Cricetulus griseus: one gene and its partner. The protein of the gene in region 1 binds, or shares a complex with, the protein of each later gene. Links are inferred from orthologs where the notes say so. Each region holds a gene or a part of one and is shown in the gene's direction. Other genes may lie near its edges.

Region 1 (4,417 bases):
ATCCTGGTTGTGCGTGTCTCAGTACTTGGAGTCTGAGGCACGAGGATCACCTCAAGTTCAAGGCTAGGCAGGGCTAGGGTGAATCCCTGGCTCAAAAACTAATACTGGATTTAGTGGTGTGGTTCTACTCACCATTAGTCACAGCACTTGGGAAACAGAGGAAGTCAGAGTTTAAGGTCAACCTGGTCTACATAATGAGTTCAGGCCAGCCAGGGCCACAGAGTGAGACTTGTCTCAAAAAACCATAAAAACAAAGCAAAACAAAACAAAAAAAAAAAAAAAAAACAGCACTGGAATTATAGGCATGGCCTAATGTTTTTGCTTGGGTTTTCATTATTGTTTTTGTTTGGTTTGGTTTGTTTGTTTGTTTTTCCTAAGGGTTGTGATAACAGGTGTGCACTGCCTGGCTGACACTTAGTTTCAACATGATTAGCACTGGGGACTCTGCCACCACTAGCCCCAAGTAGTAAGGAATTTGGGAACCCCAGATTTCCTTCCCATTTTCAGAGTCTATTTTGTCCCCTATCCACTCCCAGGGAACAAAACTGTAACACTACCACCATCTTCAGGCTCTCTTTGGAGGTCAGGGAAAGATTGGGGACCTCTGGTCATAGACTGTAGAATTAGTGCTCTAAGATGGCATTAGGGATGAGTTAGCCTGAGCACATACTACTGAAAACTAGGGAGCCAGAAGTCAGAATTTTGGTGTCTAAAGAATGGACTCAGCACTCTGTGAGGATATGTTTATTTGGGGACCAAACTTAGAGAAGTGGCCCAGGTAGGAGACAGAACCCAAGTGTAGAGATGGTGAGTTTGGGGCACCTTGTGTGTGTCCCTTGAGTTGTTGTGGGTCTCAGGCTGAGGGAGTGAAGCTCTTAGTGAGATAGGGTGTAGGTGTCTTAGTTACTTTCCTACTGCTCTGATGAAACTCCATAATTAAAGCTTCTTGGGAAGGAAAGGGTTTATTTGGCTTACATATCCTGAATTACAGTCCATTGAGAGACATCAAGGCAGGAATTCAAACAGGGCAGGGACCTGGAGGCAGTAGCTGATCCAGACACCAAGGAAGTGTTACCGGCTGTTACCGGCACCCATGGTTTGTTTGTTCAGCCTGCTTGCTCACAGAACCCAGGACCACCAGTCCAAGGATGGCACACTCTTCATGGCTGAGCCCTCCCACATCAATCACTAATTAAGAAACTGTCCTACAGGTTTGCCTACAGCCATCTAATAGAGGCATTTTCCTTTTTTTTTTAAGATTTTATTTATTTATTATGTATACAACATTCTGCTTCCATGTATATCTGCACATCAGAAGAGGGCACCAGATCTCATAGCGGATGGTTGTGAGCCACCATCTGGTTGCTGGGAATTGAACTCAGGACCTCTGGAAGAGCAGCAAGTGCTCTTAACCTCTGAGCCGTCTCTCCAGCCCTGGAGGCATTTTCTTAGTTGAGGTTCCCATGTCTCAGATGACTCTAGCTTGTGTCCTCGTGAGTTGAGTTGGCATAAAACTGGCCAGGACAGAAAGGTATGAAGGCTGCTTAGGGAAAGAGTTTATTTTGGAGGTAGGAGAGTCACCAGGGATTTGCAATGGCCTGAAATTGAGGACTGGACTTTGAGGGTGATGGAGTCTTGGGAAGACTGGAGGGCTTTGCCAAGTCTGGGTGCTGGAGTCTAAGCCATCCAAAGCCCTGAACCCTGCGGTTGCATGGAGGGGTTGGAAAAGAGACGGGTAGGTGTCCCTGACTAGCCAGGCCTTGTCTCCAGAATCTCTCAAGTATGCGGGCATGTCTGGGTCCCCTGTGGGCAAGGGTGAGGAATGCCGGATTTGGACTGAGGGAGGGCGCTGTCTGCGCTGGTCCTGAGTGGGAGGAGGGTCCGTGAATGTTGCTGGGGAGGGAGGGGGTGAAAGCGAGGAGGGAGTGGGCGACCTCTAATGAGTTGTGCGGGTTGCCAGGCCTGCGCAGGGCCCTGGTGCGGGGGCGTCGGGGAACAACGCGGTGTCCCTGAGGAGTTGGGAGGGGACCCGGGGGTCTGTGAGGTCCGGGATCTTAAGTCCCCGGATCTTTGAGGAGTTGTGCGGGAGTGAGTGGGGGGTTGGGAGGAGGACAAGGGCTCTGCGTCCCAGGGTGTTGAGGTCCGTGAGTCCCCCGGGTCTATGCGACGCCGGCTCTCACAGGTCCCGCGTCTGTGCGGTCCGGGCTGAGTCCCCCGGGCCCCCGGGAGCCTCCGCCACCCCGGATCTCTGAGTCCCCGCAGCCCCTGGTCTCCGCCGGCCCGGGGCCTCGGAGGAGGCGGGCCCGCCGGGTCCTCGCCGTCCCTCCCGGCCGGTGCTGGCGCCGCCCCGCCCCGCCTGACATCAGTTCCTGCCGCCGCGCACAGCCCGCGTCTCCTTCCCGGCTCCGCGCTCGGAGGCGCGGCGGCGGCGGCGGGCGCGGAGCGAGGCCCGGGCGAGGCGAGGCGAGGCGAGCGAGGCGGGCGGCGGGCGCCGGGCCCCGCGGCCGGCACGACGGAGCCCCGCACGGCCGGCGGCAGCGGTTGGCGGCGGCCCGGGCGCCCGGCGCGGGAAGCGGCGACGGGCGGCGGCGGCGGCGCCATGGAGCCGCGGGAGGTGAAGGACCGAATCCTGGAGAACATCTCTCTGTCGGTGAAGAAGGTGAGCGGCCTCCTTCGCCCGGGACCCTGCCCGGTCCCCGTCGTTCGCCCCCCCCCCCCCGCTTTGCCTCTGTGACCGGGATCCCGGGTCACCGTCCTCCCGGCGACCCCGAGCCCTCCAGGGGACGCGGGCGGCTCCCGGGAGCGCCGCGGCCTCCGAGCTATTTTTAAAAAAACAAAGTTGAGGTCAGCGTCCTCGGAGCTCCCGGGTGCCCGACCCGGCCTTGCCTTCCCGAGAGGGACCGGTGACACCTCGGGAAGGCTCCGGGAGGAGGAGCCGGCACAGAGAGCATCCCTAAGGATGGATGCAGTCATCCATCCTTCCTCAGGTCAAAGACCGAGGACCAACACTTGCTGGCCACATCAGCTGTGCTAGGCGACAATGCCTGGCGTCCTGGGGAGTCCCCAAGACATTCTACTCCAGGATGGCAGTTTAGAAACAGCTGATTGCAGAGTTCTGACTGGGGACCTGAAGTGCCTAGGGATGTATTTTTGGATAGTGAGCTGTGGACAGAGTGACACTAGGATACTTTGCGTTGGGGCTTGTGCCTATTGGTCACTGCCCCAATCCCTGGTAGAAATGACTACCTCTCAAGGGCATGCACGTGGATGAGGAGACAGGCCAGCCTCACAAGGTTTGGGTGTGGTGGTGCATGTCTGTCATCCCAGTACTCAGGAGGCCAAGGCAGAATCTTGAGATCCAGGCTAGCCTGGACTACATAGTGAGACCCTGTCTCAAAAACAAAAAGTAGGCGTAGGAATCACAAACCAAGAAGGATAACACGCCAGGTGGTAGAATTCGTATTCTCAGAAAACCTACATGGGCAATCAGAAGGGATTTAATTTCTATGTAGTTTTTACTACTTGAACTCTTGCCTTGTCTAATTTGAAAAGATTTAACTGGGTTTCCTTTTCTGCTCTTTTTTAAAAAGTTAGATTTTATTTATTCTGTGTATGTGTATATGTATATCTGTATTGTGCCCACATGCTAGGTAGGAGAGTGGAGGTCAGAGGACAACTTTTGAGAATCGGTTCTCTCCCACCATATGAGTTCCAGGAATTAACTCTGCTTGTCAGTTGTGCTAGCAAGCACCTTTTCCCACTGAGCCATCTCTCTGGGCCTCTTGCTTTGCTCTGCTTTGCTTTGCCTTCCTTCCTTCCTTCCTTCCTTCCTTCCTTCCTTCCTTCCTTCCTTCCTCCTTCCTTCCTTCCTTCCTCCTTCCTTCCTTCCTTCCTCCTTCCTCCCTCCCTCCCTCCCTCCCTCTCTCCCTCCCCCCCTCTTCCTTTCTTACTTTTATAGTCTTACTATGTAGACCAGGCTGGCCTCCAATTCTACTTCCCAAGTGCTGGCATTAAAGGTACATACCACTATGCATGACTTCCTTTAAGGTTCTTTCTCCTTCTAGCTTGGCATAGTGACACATGCCTTTGTCCAGCACTTGGGAGGCAGAGGCAGAGGCAGGCTGCTTTCTATGAGTTTGAGGCCAGCCTGGTCTACACAGTAAGTTCCAGGACAGCTAGAACTACATAGTGAGACTTTCTCTTGAAAAAAAGAAAGAAAGAAAGAAAAGATTCTGCTTCTAGTAAGACTTACTGTGAGTCAGGATGTTAGTCAGGGCTACTTAGTTTGAAGGCAGCTGGAGCCATGCAGTGAGATTCTATCTCAGAGGGACGGAGTTCAGCTCCAGCAGGAGACACCAAGGCTTCTGCAGCCCAGTCTCATCTGTGCTCTATGTAAGAAGCAGCCGTGGCAGCCCCA
Region 2 (4,404 bases), on another chromosome or scaffold:
CACTTCCCTCAACCCTTTTCCACTCAGCGTCACCTGACCGTAAAGACAAGTGAGTTGGCTCCAGGTTCTTCTCTGTTCCTCATCAGTTTTCTTTATAATTTTCTGTGCATTGGTGTTTTGCCTGCATGGACGTCTGTGTGAGGGTGTCAGGTCCCCTAGAACTGGAGTTACAGGCAGCTGTGAGCCGCCATGTGGGGGCTGGGAATTGAACCTAGTCCTTTGGAAGAGGTGTCAGTGTTCTTAACCACTGAACCATCTCTCCAGCCCCATCAGTTTTCTTTCTAGTGTAATGTATCACATGGTATTTTCTCATTTGCTAGCTATACATTATGTTCCCCACTGTGCTGTAAGCCCTGGGAGGGCAGTGATTTTGCTGTTACTACTGTCTCTGTTTGCTTGGGACATGTTTTTCTAGGTTCACTATGTAGTTCAGGTTGGTCTTGAATTCACCAAGCAAAACTTGACCTACGATCCTCCTGTGTCACACTCCAATGGGTTTACAAGTGTGCACCCCACTCCTAATTCAGAGCTTCATCATTTTCATTGTCATCATCTTCATCATCATCAGACAGAGTATCATGAAGCTCAGAGTGGCCTTGAACTTCTGAACCTTCTTCCTTTATCTCCCAAATGCTGGGGTTACTGGCATGCATCACCATACCCAGTTCTATGCAGTAATGGGCACTTTAATCAGCTCAGGGGTGGAACCCAGTGCCAGGCAAGTGTCTGCATCGCCAACCCAAATTCTGATTTTTAAAATTCTATACTTAGAGTATTAACATTTTCTTTCAGAGTGCATTGTCAATGAACATTTGTAGAAAAATCCAATCAGGACCAACTCATTTTTTTTTAAAGAGTTATTATTATGCGTCTCTGTGTGGGGGTATGTGCATACAGGGGTCCACGAGGACGAGGTCAGAGAACCCTGGACCAGGATCCCCTCGAACTGAACTTCCAGGCTGTTGAGGGTGCCAGATGGGGGTGTTGGGTCCCGAACTCAGGACCTCTGAAAAAGCGGCAAGCACTCTTAGACTCTGTCTGAGTCATCCCTGCAACCCCGCATGTTTTGTTTGTTGAACTCCTGATCTTCCTGCCTTCACCTCCCAAATACTGAAATTGCTGGCATGCTTCTAGCTGAGGAGATTAATAGGTGGGGAAAAAAAATGGCTAATGAACTTTTATGAAAGAGCAAAGGCTTACTATAAAACTGAATCGACATCAAGGCGACTGAAGGCTGTGCCCAACCTCACCACCAGGTGGCACTGTCGGCGGCGGGCTCTCGGGATCCGCCGGGCGGCGCCGCTCTTGCCGTGCGCTTCCGAGACTGGGCTGGGCCAGGCGTGGGGGGTGGGTAGGGCGAGTCATATGACCCGCTGGGTTTCCTGGCTCTGGCCGTCGCTGCCGCCCGCTTGTGTCCGCCCGAGTCGCGCCGGGGGGCCCGCCGAGGAGCCGTTAGTGGGTTCAGGGCCGATTGCCGCTCGTGGGAAGCAGTGACCGCCGTCGTCCGCACCCGTCCCCGCTCGCTCCCGGCCGCCGCCATGCTGGCGCTCATCTCCCGCCTGCTGGACTGGTTCCGCTCGCTCTTCTGGAAGGAGGAGATGGAACTGACCCTCGTGGGGCTGCAGTATTCGGGCAAGACCACCTTCGTCAATGTCATCGCGGTGAGCAGTCGTCTGCGGGCGACCCGGCCGCCGACCCGGGCTTGTCACCTCCCCGAGGGCCGGGCCGGGCCGTGCGACCCTGCGCATGTGGGCCTGGGAGATTGTAGCTTAGCGGGTCAGCGGCCCGAGGGCCGATTCCGCTCTGCGTTACGGTGGGCGCTGTGCCTTTAACGCGGCTCGGAAAGGGTTAATCCGAGCCTGTCACAGTTGCGGCCTTGGGGCTGCGGAAGCTGAAGAGTTAACTCCAACCTGTCACTTGCTCGCCCGCCCGGACGGGCTAGTCCGGCCTTCTCTAGAACGTCTGCCAGAGGAGAGGGGGGAGCCACTCTGAAATCTCCACTTGGGACGGAGGAGTCCCATTGTGAAAGCAGGCGACCCGTGTGGGCGCCTCTGTGGAATGCCAGGGGGAGCCTTGGCGCCTCCAGTTCGCTTGGTCTTTGTCGCTTGTCCGTGGAGAGCCGAAGATCAAGCTGATGGCCTAGCACACTTGGTGGACGCTGCTGGGGAGACCATTCAGTTCCTAGTATTTATTAAGGCAAGGAGTCAGGGCGAGGCGAGTTTCTGTCTTCCCAGAGTTGTGTTAAGCGAGTTAAGATAGATGGAGCTGCATTCACCATGAAGTTAAGTGTCCTGCAGGGTTTGATCTTGAGAGAGATTCTTTTTCTTTTCTTTTTCTTTTTCTTTTTCTTTTTCTTTTTCTTTTTCTTTTCTTTTCCTTGTAGAGAAGGAATTTGTTTGCAGGGAGACGTAGCTTATGCACACTCGGGGAAATTGCCTTGAGAACTTAAATATAATGTGGTGGTTAATTCCGTGGGAGAGTGGTTGTTGAGTTTTTGCCGTTCTGATTGGTTGGGAAAGGAATGGGAGTAAGTGATTTCTTGTCAGTCGCTTAGAGCCTAGGAGTCACCGCGCAGTCTTAGGGCTGCACTTACAGGGTTGAGCTGTACAATTGGAGACAAGTGGCGGCAGTTCTCAGACCTTGGGAGAGGGTGGTTGCAGAGTAGACAGCTGGGCTGTCTGACTGGTTTGGCCACAGGAGTGATTCAGGTACAGTGCCATGGGAGAAACTAGGCAACTTGTGAGTCAGTATGTGTAGTAACAGAGCAACAGGCGTGAACAGGACCTGTAGAAAGAGGAGCAGAAACCCAAACTTCTTTTGGAAAAGACTAAATATAAGTATAAAGAAAATTTGTCTGCTTCATGTTTGGTGCCTTCTGTATTGCCCCCCCCCCCATAATAATCGTATTCTCTAATACGAAGAGAATAAGGCAGAACAGACTTTATGATCTCTTTCATATTAGAGCTTTTCTGTAGCCTTTGAGGTGTTTATTTTCTGTTATTTACCTGAGATAAGAATTGGAATTTCCTCCGGGGGTTGGTGGCCCACACCTTTAATCCCAACACTCGGGAGGCAGAAGGTTCTCTCTGAGTTCGAGGCAAGTGTGGTCCAGGCTTGTTCCAGGACAGCCTCCAAGCCCCAGAGAAACCCTACCTCGAACCCCCCCCCCAACAAAAAAAAGAATTGGAGTTTCCTTGGAAATCCCATCTCTTGGACAAGATTGAGTTGGGACACGTGGGCGTGTCAGCATGGTCAGTTGTATTTGCTGTGGAGGAGTAGTTAATGTAAGAACCTGCACCAGTGAGTAGAATTCAAGAGACACACTGCTTACTTTCAGGCTTCTGTCATCACCAGACAGTATAGCTTAATATAACAATTAATATTAATTAATTAATATTACTTTCATCACCAGACAGTATAGCTTAATATAACAAGTCCGAACTTTATGCCACGACCCCGGTTTAAAATCTGGATCTGCTACTTAGCAGCCTTGGATCCTCTTTGAGTTGACTGTAATCTTATCTATTAAATGCAGATAACAATATATTTCTTAACGGAATTGCTCTAAGGGCTAACTAAGAGAAGTAGGGAAGTAATAACTTGTTAATATTTGTAGTGGCTGTACTACTTAATGCAGACACAAGGAAATATTAAGAAAGGAATCAGTATGGGTCTTCTCCTTTGCCTCTCAGACAAGTGTGGTCTGCAGTCATGGTTTTCTGGTTTGTGGGAATAAAGTACCCGATGCCCTCCTCCTTTTGTATTGGCTTCTTTTAACAGTTATCAAATGTCTCCTGTTGAGTTTAGTGACCTTCTGTTATCAATCAATATTAAAGTATTATGTTTGAATTATAGTGTAGATAGCCTCCTAAAAAAGAAACTCCCACAAAAGAGGCTATGTTTAACTTACTTTAATCATTCCAAATTCTATATATAATAAAACATTACATAAAATATTATGTAATGTGAAACACACTCACACACACACACAAATACACACACAAATATAATTATGATCTGTCAGTTAAAATGCTAATGTTCTAGACATGGTGATGCTTACTTGTAATTCCAGCACTTCACAGGCTGAGGCAGGATGGTTGCTACAACTTTGAGGGTCAGCTTGATCTGTGTCTACTATAACAAGTAACCAGACCAGTCACAGTTACACAGTAAGACTGCTCCCCCCAAACAAAAATAATTTAAGAAAAGAAGAAAAAAATGTAGACTGTAAATTGGTGGTGGGGTTTAAAATGCTGAGAAAGGGGGCTGACTCCTTAGACACGAGCTTCCCTTGTGTCTCTTTTTCGCCATTCTTTCTTTTGAGGCAGGGTTGCACTTGGTGGCCCAGGCTGTCCCTGACCACACTAAGTAGTCCAAGCTGGCCTTGAACACATGGTGATCCTC

The links.
Region 2: the proteins of Plekhm2 (region 1) and Arl8b are in contact, whole or in part, in a crystal structure (PDB 8JCA), measured with the Homo sapiens proteins. The link is inferred for Cricetulus griseus from reciprocal best matches to the Homo sapiens genes PLEKHM2 and ARL8B. Residues at the interface, in NP_055979.2 of Homo sapiens: His70, Phe71, Thr72, Arg73, Arg74, Glu75, Glu103, Ser105, Glu107, Ser108, Tyr109, Arg111, Leu112, Glu115, Glu147, Phe148; in NP_060654.1 of Homo sapiens: Glu22, Thr52, Val53, Gly54, Phe55, Asn56, Met57, Lys68, Trp70, Arg77, Phe78, Arg84, Tyr85, Arg87, Gly88, Val89.

The regions. Positions count from the first base shown.
Region 1 is NC_048595.1:11,590,534-11,594,950, forward strand, and holds the start of Plekhm2 (pleckstrin homology domain-containing family M member 2), read left to right. Parts: upstream 1-1,454; 5' UTR 1,455-1,711; coding exon 1,712-1,735; intron 1,736-2,495; exon of another isoform or gene 2,496-2,599; coding exon of another isoform or gene 2,600-2,659; intron 2,660-4,417. UniProt on the Homo sapiens protein: Plays a role in lysosomes movement and localization at the cell periphery acting as an effector of ARL8B.
Region 2 is NC_048601.1:35,693,479-35,697,882, reverse strand, and holds the start of Arl8b (ADP-ribosylation factor-like protein 8B), read left to right. Parts: upstream 1-1,359; 5' UTR 1,360-1,538; coding exon 1,539-1,661; intron 1,662-4,404. UniProt on the Homo sapiens protein: Small GTPase which cycles between active GTP-bound and inactive GDP-bound states.